3 linked regions of the Oryctolagus cuniculus genome follow. The protein of the gene in region 1 interacts with the protein of each later gene in a pairwise test. Links are inferred from orthologs where the notes say so. Each region holds a gene or a part of one and is shown in the gene's direction. Other genes may lie near its edges.

What was found.
Region 2: the proteins of EIF4A3 (region 1) and PDCD4 interact in binary tests that used the Homo sapiens proteins (3 or more experiments, as listed by UniProt). The two-hybrid records come from large-scale screens. The link is inferred for Oryctolagus cuniculus from reciprocal best matches to the Homo sapiens genes EIF4A3 and PDCD4.
Region 3: the proteins of EIF4A3 (region 1) and CCDC174 interact in binary tests that used the Homo sapiens proteins (3 or more experiments, as listed by UniProt). The two-hybrid records come from large-scale screens. The link is inferred for Oryctolagus cuniculus from reciprocal best matches to the Homo sapiens genes EIF4A3 and CCDC174.

Annotation. Positions count from the first base shown.
Region 1 is NC_091448.1:2,080,178-2,083,826, forward strand, and holds part of EIF4A3 (eukaryotic initiation factor 4A-III), read left to right. Parts: intron 1-840; coding exon 841-907; intron 908-2,096; coding exon 2,097-2,159; intron 2,160-2,983; coding exon 2,984-3,116; intron 3,117-3,270; coding exon 3,271-3,351; intron 3,352-3,649. UniProt on the Homo sapiens protein: ATP-dependent RNA helicase. Involved in pre-mRNA splicing as component of the spliceosome. Core component of the splicing-dependent multiprotein exon junction complex (EJC) deposited at splice junctions on mRNAs.
Region 2 is NC_091446.1:19,357,455-19,361,103, reverse strand, and holds part of PDCD4 (programmed cell death protein 4), read left to right. Parts: intron 1-2,757; coding exon 2,758-2,865; intron 2,866-3,098; coding exon 3,099-3,209; intron 3,210-3,649. UniProt on the Homo sapiens protein: Inhibits translation initiation and cap-dependent translation. May excert its function by hindering the interaction between EIF4A1 and EIF4G. Inhibits the helicase activity of EIF4A. Modulates the activation of JUN kinase.
Region 3 is NC_091441.1:113,440,355-113,444,103, forward strand, and holds the start of CCDC174 (coiled-coil domain-containing protein 174), read left to right. Parts: upstream 1-1,501; 5' UTR 1,502-1,599; coding exon 1,600-1,641; intron 1,642-3,749. UniProt on the Homo sapiens protein: Probably involved in neuronal development.

The DNA of each region.
Region 1 (3,649 bases):
CTGAATCCCACGACCTGAGTGCGCTCCTTTTCTCTTGAAGTTTCTTCTCGTCTACTTGAAAGGCAGTGACGGGGGTGGGGTGGGGTGGGGTGGGGTGTGTGTGTGCTCTCTCCTCTGCTGGTAGTGACGGGGGGGGGCTCTCTCTCTGCTGGTAGTGACGGGGGGGTGGGGGGTGCTCTCCTCTGCTGGTAGTGACGGGGGGGGCTCTCTCTCTGCTGGTAGTGACGGGGGGGTGCTCTCTCTCTGCTGGTAGTGACGGGGGGGGGTGCTCTCCTCTCTGCTGGTAGTGACGGGGGGGTGCTCTCTCCTCTGCTGGTAGTGACGGGGGGGTGCTCTCCTCTCTGCTGGTAGTGACGGGGGGGTGCTCTCTCCTCTGCTGGTAGTGACGGGGGGGGTGCTCTCCTCTCTGCTGGTAGTGACGGGGGGGTGCTCTCTCCTCTGCTGGTAGTGACGGGGGGGGTGCTCTCTCTCTGCTGGTAGTGACGGGGGGGTGCTCTCCTCTCTGCTGGTAGTGACGGGGGGGTGCTCTCTCCTCTGCTGGTAGTGACGGCGGGGGGTGCTCTCTCCTCTCTGCTGGTTTGCGCACTGTGTGCCTCCAGCGGCCAGAGCTGAGCCAGGAACTGGGAACTCCGTCCAGGTCTCCCTCGTGGTGCGGGGCAGGAGCACTTGGTCCATCATCTGCTGCCTCCAGGATGCATCAGAGGGAGCAGCCGGGAGCTGACCGGGCTCTCAGACAGACGGAGGGGTCAGAGGGAGTGGCCGGGAGCTGACCGGGCTCTCAGACGGACGGGGGGTCTACTGTGCTCTTAACGCTTGCCATGTCTGTGTCTCCGTGTCCAGGTCTCAGTCCGGCACAGGCAAGACGGCCACCTTCAGTATATCTGTCCTCCAGTGCTTGGACATTCAGGTAATTTGAAACTTAAGGTCTGCTTTTTTTTTTTTTCCCCTTTTTTTAAAGGTTTATTTATTTGAAAGAGTGAGGCAGAGAGAGAGAGGTCTTCCATCCAATGGTTCACCCCCCAAATGATTCCAACAGCTGAAGCTGAGCCGATCTGAAGCCAGGAGCCAGGAGCTTCTTCCAGGTCTCCCACGTGGGTGCAGGGGCCCAGGGACTTGGGCCGTCCAGTGGTGTTTTCCCGGGCACGTTAGCAGGAAACCGGATTGGAAGTGGAGCATCTGGGACTCAAACCAGCATCCATATGTGATGCCAGCACCTCAGGCAGAGTCTTCGCCCACTACGCCACAGCACTAGCACCAAAGAGAATCTATTTATTTATTTATTTGACAGGCAGAGTGGACAGTGAGAGAGAGAGAAAGGTCTTCTTTTTCTGTTGGTTCACCGCCAATGGCCGCCGCGGCTGGCGCACCGCACTGATCAGGAGCCAGGTGCTCCCTCCTGGTCTGCAGTGCGGGTGCAGGGCCCAAGCACCTGGGCCATCCTCCACTGCCCTCCGGGGCCACAGTAGAGAGCTGGACTGGAAGAGGAGCAACCAGGACAGAATCCGGTGCCCCCCCCCCCCCCTTTAAGATTTATTTATTTATTTATTTGAGAGGAGTTACAGACGAGAGAGGGAGAGACAGAAACGTCTTCCATCGGCTGATTCACTGCCCCAAATGGCCGCAGTGCCCAGAGCTGTGCTGAACTGGAGCCAGGAGCTTCCTCTGGGTCTCCCTTGTGGGTGCAGGGGCCCAAGCACTTGGGCATCTTCCACTGCCTTCCCAGGCCATGACAGGGAGCTGGGTCAGAAGAGGAACAGCCGGGACCAGAACTGGTGCCCATACGGGATGCCAGCACTGCCGGTGGAGTCTTAGCCCCCTATGCCACAGAGCCAGCCCCAACGAGAACCTTAACTGCACAGTACCTGTCATGCATTCCTTTTGGTTTAAATGGAGGCTTTTTTTGTTCTGAACCCAGTCCGAACAGGTAAGCAGTGTTGCTGGATTTGTGGTTCAGATGTGGTTGAGATTGGCTCCCTCTGTTAGGAGTCAGAAGGAGGGTCGTACACGGTCGCGCAGCACCGATGACGGTGGTGTGGGCCGCGCAGGCTGTGTGGGGATGCTGAGGACGGCTGTCGCCTGTCGCGTTCTTTCACCAGGTCCGGGAGACGCAAGCTTTGATCTTGGCGCCCACCAGGGAGCTCGCGGTGCAGATTCAGAAGGTAAGACCCTGGCTGTGCTGATTGGGGGGTCGGATCTCATTTATTTTTTGTCTCCTCAAATTATTTGCCTGATTCCTATCATTTTGCCCTAAATCATCTGTTATATGAGTTATTGGATAGAATCAAATCATCATTTGTTATATGAGTGGCTGCTTAGAATCAAGTAATTTCTAGGATAGGCTGTGTGTTTTCAGGAGGTTTTTGTGGCCTTATAAATGTTAATTTTGTTTTTAAGGTTTATTTTACTTGAAAGTCAAAGTTAGAGAGAGAGGTCTTCCACCACTGGTTCACTCCCCAGATGGCCGCAACGGCTAGAGCTGGACCGATCCAAAGCCAGGAGCTTCTTCCGGGTCTCCCACGTGGGTGCAGGGGCCCAAGCACTTGGGCCATCTTCCACTGCTTTCCCAGGCCACAGGAGAGAGCTGGGTCGGAAGTGGAGCAGCCAGGACTTGAACCAGCACCCATATGGGATGCCAGCACTGCAGGTGGCGGTTTTACCTGCTATGCCACAGCACTGGCCCCATAAATATTAATTTTTTAACTAAAAAACTACTTTAATAATAAAATGTTTATACTTACATATCATATAGATTTTGGAAGGATGGACAGTAACGTTTGGGGTAGGTAGGAGTTTTATCTGTTTCCCACTCTAGTTAATATGTATTGATTTCCTAATAAGAAACAAGGTAAATGAACTTCATTTTGGTGGAAAGAGAGCAGAGAGGTTTTGTGGCTTTAGGGCATAGGTGGTAGCTGGTGACTGTCGTGGCCTGGGGTAGAAGGGCCCTCCTTGCCGTGGCTGACGTGGCCCTGTGCTGCCCCAGGGCCTGCTGGCGCTCGGGGACTACATGAACGTGCAGTGCCACGCCTGCATCGGGGGCACCAACGTGGGCGAGGACATCCGCAAGCTGGATTACGGGCAGCACGTGGTCGCCGGCACGCCGGGGCGCGTCTTCGGTGAGTGCTGGAGCCGTGCTGCCTGGGGGGTCTTTGCCCTGGGTCTCCCCTGGGGTGCGGGGAAGGTGTCTGAGACACCGTGAGAGAGGCTGGCCGGGCCCGCACTGCCCTGTGGTCCCAGGTCTGAGCGCCCCACGCACGTCTGGTCTTTCAGACATGATTCGTCGCAGAAGCTTAAGGACGCGCGCCATCAAGATGCTGGTGTTGGACGAGGCTGACGAGATGCTGAACAAGGGTACGGGCGGCACGAGGGTTTCTTTGCTGCTGACGCGAGTGCGGGGGGGCAGCTGGCTTGGGTCGGGCACGAGCGAAGGTTTTCATGCTGCGGTTTGTCAGGCCGGTCCCCGGCAGCACAGGAGCGCTTCAGGTCAGGTGGCCCGGCCCCCTGGTGGCTGTGGTGGGCCGCGTGGGCCGGTGCCGCGTGGAATTGAGATGCTGCTCACGGAGGTGTGGTGGTCGTCTGTAGAGGCTTCGCTTGCTCTCCTAGCCGCTGCACTGGGGGTGTGACTGTTCGTGCTGGGCCCTCGCTCGAC
Region 2 (3,649 bases), on another chromosome or scaffold:
GATGGAAAATTGAATAATACTTTTATAAGGGGGTGCTTCAGAAAATCTGTGGAAAATGAGATTTAAAAATAAGTTTATTTTGGTGCAAAACAATTGAAATTCCATTCATTTTTTCATACTAATTTCAATGAATTTTTTGAAGACCCCTGAATGCTTAAAAAAAAAAAAAAAGTGATTTTTATTGCATTAAAATGCCAGAATGGGCGGAGCTGTGGCTTAGAGCATTAAGCAGCCTCCTGGAGAGCCAGCATCCTATGTGGGCACCTGCTGCAGACCTGGCTGCTCCACTTCCGATCCAGCTCCCTGCTAGTGTGCTTGGGAAAGCAGCAGCACATGACCTAGGTGCTTGGGTCCCTGCACCCATGTAGGAGACCCGGATGAAACTCCTGGCTCCTGGCTTTGGTTTGGGAGCCCAGCCCTGGCTGTTGTGACGTTTAGAGAATAAACCAGCAGATGCAAGATTGCTGTCTCTCTGCCCCTGCCTCTCCCTTTCAAATAAATAAATAAATCTTTAAATAAAATGCCAGATTTACTCCACATTGGTTGTTTTCTGCCTGTAATTTGGTGTTGTATGTAAGAAACCAAAAAAGTATTTAATCCCCTTATCTGCATGTAATTAGAAAAGGCATGCAATTAGATGATTTATAGTTCCTGTGCTTTTGATTTTTGAGTATAATCTTCATGTGAGTATAATTTTGATTTTTGATAAGTCTTAATTGTATACACACACACATATGTACCCTTAATTTAAGTATTAAGGAGTTCAAATATAGAGCCTGGACCAATTTTATTTTTAAATATATAAAAATAGATGGTTTGGTGTCCACAATGTGATGATTGCAGTGGTCTCCTTTAAGTAATTAAAGAATTAGTAATAGAAAAATTAAGGTATAAAAATAGTCAAGGTTCCAGGGCAGTTAATCAAGAAAAATAAATAAAAGGAATCTAGACTTGAAGAAGCAAAAGTAGCTCCATTCCTAGATAACAATGTATGTACAGAAAATACAAAGGACCCACAAAATAACCTCTTCTCCGACCAAAACCAAACTATTAAGCCATAAATGTATTGAACAGGGTTACAGACTATAATATGAATATACAGATTTCAGTTCTGTATTTATACAGTGGCAGTGTGATTGGAAATGAAATAAACAATTGCATTTACAACAGCATCAAAAAGTAAATATTTAGGAATAACTTTAATGGAAGGAATGCACATTTTGTTAACTGGGAGCTGCAAAATGTTGAAAGGAAGATAATAAAAATATCCCAGGTTTATAGATTATAAAGCTTAATATTGTTAATATGGTAAAACTCCCCAATATTAATATTTGGAGAAACTGTCATTTTATGGTATGTGAATAATGTCAATAAAAATGGATAAGATTAAAAACTGAAATAATATTACCAATATATCAATTTGAGGTAGACACTATTTGGGTATTTGTTTACTTAGAAGAAAAGGTTGGACAAAGATGATTTTCAGAAATGCATATATTTGTAATTTGTTATTTAAAAAGGCATGGAACCTGATATACTTTTTAGAGTTACATAACAGAACTAAATAGTTTTATAATTACAGAGTAAAACCCTTTATTTAAATGCCATGCTTTAAATGTCAGTTTCTTTTTTCTTTTTCTTTTTTTATTTTTTGACAGGCAGAGTGGACAGTGAGAGAGAGAGAGAGAAAGGTCTTCCTTTGCCATTGGTTCACCTTCCAATGGCTGCCGTGGTCGGCACGCTGCGGCCGGCACACGGCGCTGATCCGATGGCAGGAGCCAGGTGCTTCTCCTGGTCTCCCATAGGGTGCAGGGCCCAATGACTTGGGCCATCCTCCACTGCACTCCCTGGCCACAGCAGAGAGCTGGCCTGGAAGAGGGGCAACCGGGACAGAATCCGGCGCCCCGATGGGACTAGAACCTGGTGTGCTGGCGCCGCAAGGCGGAGGATTAGCCTAGTGAGCCACCGCGCCGGCCTAAATGTCAGTTTCCTAAAGCTTGATTATAGAAATTCATTAGGATGTATTATAGTTACCAATTTTATTTTACTTTTGATGAAAATATATTCCAGAAGTTGGAAGTAGGGGTTATTTAAAGTATTCAGTTGGTCCGCATTCATTGTTTGTTTACTGGATGCCAAGGTGATTACAATGGCAGTGTATAGGGAAGAACATTCCTAGTGGAGGGTCTCTGGAGCCACAGATACTACTGTACAGGTTTGAGTGAGGAAGTCAGTACTTACCTCTTCAGCTACAGCTTGAAGCCAAGTTACTGATGAATGTTTTTAGATAAAATCCTCCTTGTAAAAAAAATTCTTTATCTAGTAATGCCCCCATTAGTCTCATTATTTACACTGTTAAGATAATGCTGATAGAAGTGAACTGTCTTCTGCCATTTTAAACATTCATATTGAGACTTTCATTTAGTGCCCTCTACTGGTATTTAAAATCCTTTGTTTTTAGTGGGGAGTACTGAAGCATTATGGTGACCATTTAGACCATGAGCATTTTTAACCTACTTATACTCAGTGATTCAGACACACTGAAGGATTGCATTTGCCTCATAATTATGAACCATTTTAAACTTGGTGATTTTTTAATTATTTAAAAAGTTATGGTATCATTCCAGTCTGTATGGTGTTAGTTCATGACCTATTTGATCACGTAACATATGGGATAAGGGTAAATAAATCCTTTAGGCAAGCGTGACTTTCCAAAAGTCAGGAATTCTAACACATCCCAACTTTCCAATCTTATAGATTGATATGCTGCTGAAAGAGTATTTACTCTCTGGAGACATTTCCGAAGCAGAACATTGTCTTAAGGAATTGGAAGTACCTCATTTTCACCATGAGCTTGTGTATGAAGTAAGATTACTTTTCCATGCCAAGAAGATTGACTAGTGCCCCTTTTTGTGCCTGTAACTGAATGTTTCTTTAACATTACATTTTTTTTTTTTAAGATTGAGAAAGTGGTTTGTAAATTTTTGTAATGACCATAAAATCCCAGTCGTGCATGGTTAAAGAAAAGGGATCTGATGCATTTTCAGAATTTTTATATGAATTAATAATGAAAACTTGTTCTTTTATTCAATTTTTAGGCTATTGTAATGGTTTTAGAGTCAACTGGAGAAAGTACATTTAGGATGATTTTGGATTTGTTAAAATCCCTTTGGAAGTCTTATACCATTACTGTAGACCAAATGAAAAGAGTAAGTACCTAATTACTTTGAACAATTAATTTAGAATTCAACCTTAAATACATTACCGAATAAAGACTATCAGTGGAATTTTCTTTCAGGCATGTTTAGTATTATGCCTATAGGTTCCATGTTGGCTGTTTTCCCTTGGGCTCGGTTGAATCCAGGCACTCCACTGTGGGACACACACTGTGGGTGTGTGTCTTCATTTATTTTTGATTTTTTTAAAAAAGATTTATTCATTTGAAAGAGTTACAGAGAGAGAGACAGAGAGAGAGGTCTTCCATCTGCTGGTTCACTCCCCAGATGGCTGCAACAGCTGGAGCTGTGCCGATCCAAAGCCAGGAGCCAGGAGCCAGGAGCCACCTCCTGATCTCCCACATGAGTGAAGGGGCACAAGCACTTGGGCCATCTTGTACTGTATTCCCAGGCCATAGCAGAGAGCTGGACTG
Region 3 (3,749 bases), on another chromosome or scaffold:
CTGCCTGACTTATAGCTTAGTGCTGCTGCAGTCATTAGCATTTGTATCCTCTTTTCTCCTGCCGCTGTAACCAATCCCATCACTTGAGGGGCTTAAGACAGCTCAGATTTATCCTGGTGTAGTTCCAAAAGTTCCAGCTCTAACACGTGCCAGCATGTTAGAGCTAAGGCTAAGATGACATATCAGTAATGGTGCACTACCGCAGAAGAGCCTAGAGGATGAGGAATTTCTTTCTGTTTGTTTGCTTGCTTTTCCTCCAACTTTCAGAGGCGTCCTGCATCCCTTGGCCATGCCCCCTCCCCCCGCCTTAAAGCCTGCAGTGTGGTCACCTCTGACCTCATTCACAGACTTTGAACTTCTGCTCCCCTCTCACTAGGACTCCTGTGGTGGCCTGGGCCCACCTGGACAGTCTCCCCATTTTAACAGCGTCAGTGACTCACATCTGTAAATTCCCTTTAACTGGTAGATTCAGAGATTGGTGAGGGTTGGGGGCGGCGGCTGGGAGGGAGACATCTTGGGGGGGGGAGTGTCACAAGTCCGTCTATCACAGACATTAACATTTTTAACAAGACCAGCTCACTTAACTCATTTACTTCTCATAATCTCAACGAGGAAGAAACAATTTATTCACCTTTGGAAATTGAGGTGCAGAAAAATGCAACTTACCCAAAGTCACAAAGCCCAGTAAGTGGTGAAACTGAGACTCCAGCCCACTAACTCAGTTTCTAGAGTGCATGTTCTTTCCACAGAGCGAGGGAGAGACAGAGATCTTCTATCTTCTGGTTCACTCCCCAACGGGCTGCAATATCTGAGCCAGGAGCCAGGAGCTCTATCCAGGTTTTCCATATGGGTGTCAGGGGCCCAAGTCCTCCAGCCATTCTCCACTGCCTTCCCAGGTGCATTAGAAGGGAGCTGGATTGGAAGTGGCACCAGGGAGGGGATCCAACCCAGACACCACCCTCTCAAGCAGTGACTTAACCCACTGTGTCACAGTGCCCACTGCTAGAGTTAATGTTCTTACGAGAAAATACGTAAAAAAACAAAAAACAAAAAACAAAAAAAAACTGATCACTATACTCATACTCATGTCAGCTATTAACACAGCTGTTACGTGTAAGACAATACTGCAATACGGATTTACTCCAATACGACTTTTGCGAGAGTCCACTAATCAACACGTGAAAAGCACCAGACAGGACCTCGCACAAAGCAAGTCTTCCAAAGTTTTGGATTTTTGCGAATCTCCTAAGCGGCTGTTTCCATTCTGAAGATCTTGAATTTATCAGGCCCTCCTCAAGATGGCGCCATCCACATCTCTCGCCCATTCCCCACTCAAGATGGTTGGTGTCCCTTGCAAGGAAAGCCTCTCTCAAGATGGCGCCAACGCTAGTCCGTCCTCTAACACGGGCACCCTCTTACCTTCCCAATATGGCGGCGAACGTAAAACGCGCCACACATTAAGACCTTCACAAGATGGCGCCGACGTCGGGGATTTAGAGTCGCTGTCAAAGCTACTTCCGGTTGCGCCGGAAGTAAGTCTGTGAGACCCGAGGGACTTCAGGAAGAGCTGGCGGTGGGCCGGGACGCTCCGGCGCCACTATGGATCGGAGGAAAAAGCCTCTGGACGTTGCAGCCTCTTCGGTAAGTACAGCTAGGTGATGCTACAGGCCTCGGGGTCCCCATGTCTCCGTCCAGCTTGTCTCTCCGCTCGGGACCCAGACCTGGCCTCTTCCCTCAGGAACGGGGCGCTGGCCTTCTCTCTCCCGACGGGCCTGGCCGGCTTAATAACGCAGGGGCTCCCGAGCCGGCTCGTTGCCGCCGGCGTGCCGCGCCCAGGCGTCTGCCCTGAGCCCCGCGCCGAGCGCGGGCTCCCTTCCCGCGGGGCCCGGGCGCGGCAGCCGTGTCCGGCTGCGGAGACCCGGGCCGGGCTCGCGAGCGAAGCGCCGCCCGGGAGCTGGGAGGTCCGACGGGGTAAACTGTTTGGGGTGGTTCTGCTTCCTTTAAAAATTTTTTTTTTTTTAATTTTCTAATTTATATTTATGGGATACTCTGTGGCGTTTCCGCGCAAGCGTACGTTGTGTAATGTCAGCGTTAACAGACGTGTCTCCCCCAACATGTAGCATTTCTCCATGGTGAAAACGTTCAAAATCTTTTTTGTAGTTGTTTGTTTCGGAAAAGAAACAGCCCATGGTCATTATCGATAGTCGCCCTGCTGTGTGGTAGAGCCCCGAAACTTCTTGCTCCTGCCCGAGGAGCTCTTACCAACCAGCCTTCCCCGCCCCCACCCCCAGCCTCTGATGGTCGCTGTCTACTCGCAGCTTCTATGCAGTTAACTTTTTTAGAGTCCACCTGTGAGTGCGATCACGTGGGTCTGGTCTTTCTGTGCCCGACTGGCGTCATTTTCCACGACCTCCGGTCTCATCCACGTTGTTGGAAATGACAGGATCTCATCCCTTTTTATGGCCAAGTAGCATTGCGTGGTGTCCGTGTATCTCGTTTTCTTGATCGGTCCCTGAGATGATGGCCCCTCCCTCGGTTCTGGGTCTCGTCTGTTGTGAGCAGTGCTGCAGCAGACATGGGAGCGGGGGCTGAGGGAGGTGAAGGCAGGCACGAATCTTCACTCAGCGGCCCTGGCCCTGTCCTTTTCCCTTTGAACACTGTGATTCCGTTACACTTACAGCTTCTGAGACAGCATGCAGATGCTCCCCAGCTTACACTGGGGTTGGATCCCAGTAAACCCCTCATAGGTTGAAAATAACATGTGCAAAAATCATTGAGCGCACCTGGCCTAGCAAAGCTGATGGCTTGGGGGCCCAGGGCACTGTAGAGTGTTGGGTGTTTCCCCTCAGAGTCACAGTGCTGACTGGCAGCTGTGTTCTCTGCTGCCCGACTTCTGAGACGGGACCAGGCCACATAGCGCTAGCCCTGGAAGGATCCAAATCCACAATTCCAAGTACTGTTCCTGCTGAATGCTTTTTGCTTTCCTGTGCCATCATAAATTGAAAAATTGCGAGTTGAACCATTGTGAGTTGCAAACCATGTGGTAAGCCAGGCTTAGAGCTATTCTTATCTCTTGGTCTGCTTTAGCTGTTAGCTGTTGAAACCTTGCCTGTCATTCAAGGGTCAGCTCAAACTTTGATCGCCCCCAGACAGAAAGAAATACTCCCTTATCTGAACTTTGAGGCAGTTTTGTTCCACCTTAAAGTCTTCGATTACACTGATTACATTTAATTGGTATTATAAATCACCCTTATTAGATCCTAGGCTCTTGGAGGCAGGAAGTACGTCTGAATCATGTGTGTGGCCTCTTCCTTGGGATTAGGTGCCAGGCACAAACTGAGTGATCAAATAATTACTGAATGAAAACATTTTCCTGTCAAGAAAATAAATTGTTGTGATGATGTAATGAGATTACCACATGAAGAGGCCAAATGGAGTGCCAGTCAGGGAGAAGGTGCCTGATAACTTTGAGTCTAAAGGATGTGCGTTTCATTTATTGATTTATGTATTTCTTGAAGAGTTATTTTTTTATTTGAAAGACAGAGACAGAGAGAGATGTCTTCCATCTGCTGGTTCACTCTCCAAATGGCTGCAACAGCCTGAGCTGAGCCCATCCAGAGCTGGAAACCTGGAGCTTCTTCCAGGTCTCCATGTGGGTGCAGGGGCCCAAGGATTTGGGCCATCTTCCACTGCCTTCCCAGGCCATAGCAGAGAGCTGGATTGGAAGTGGAGCTGCCGGAATTCGAACT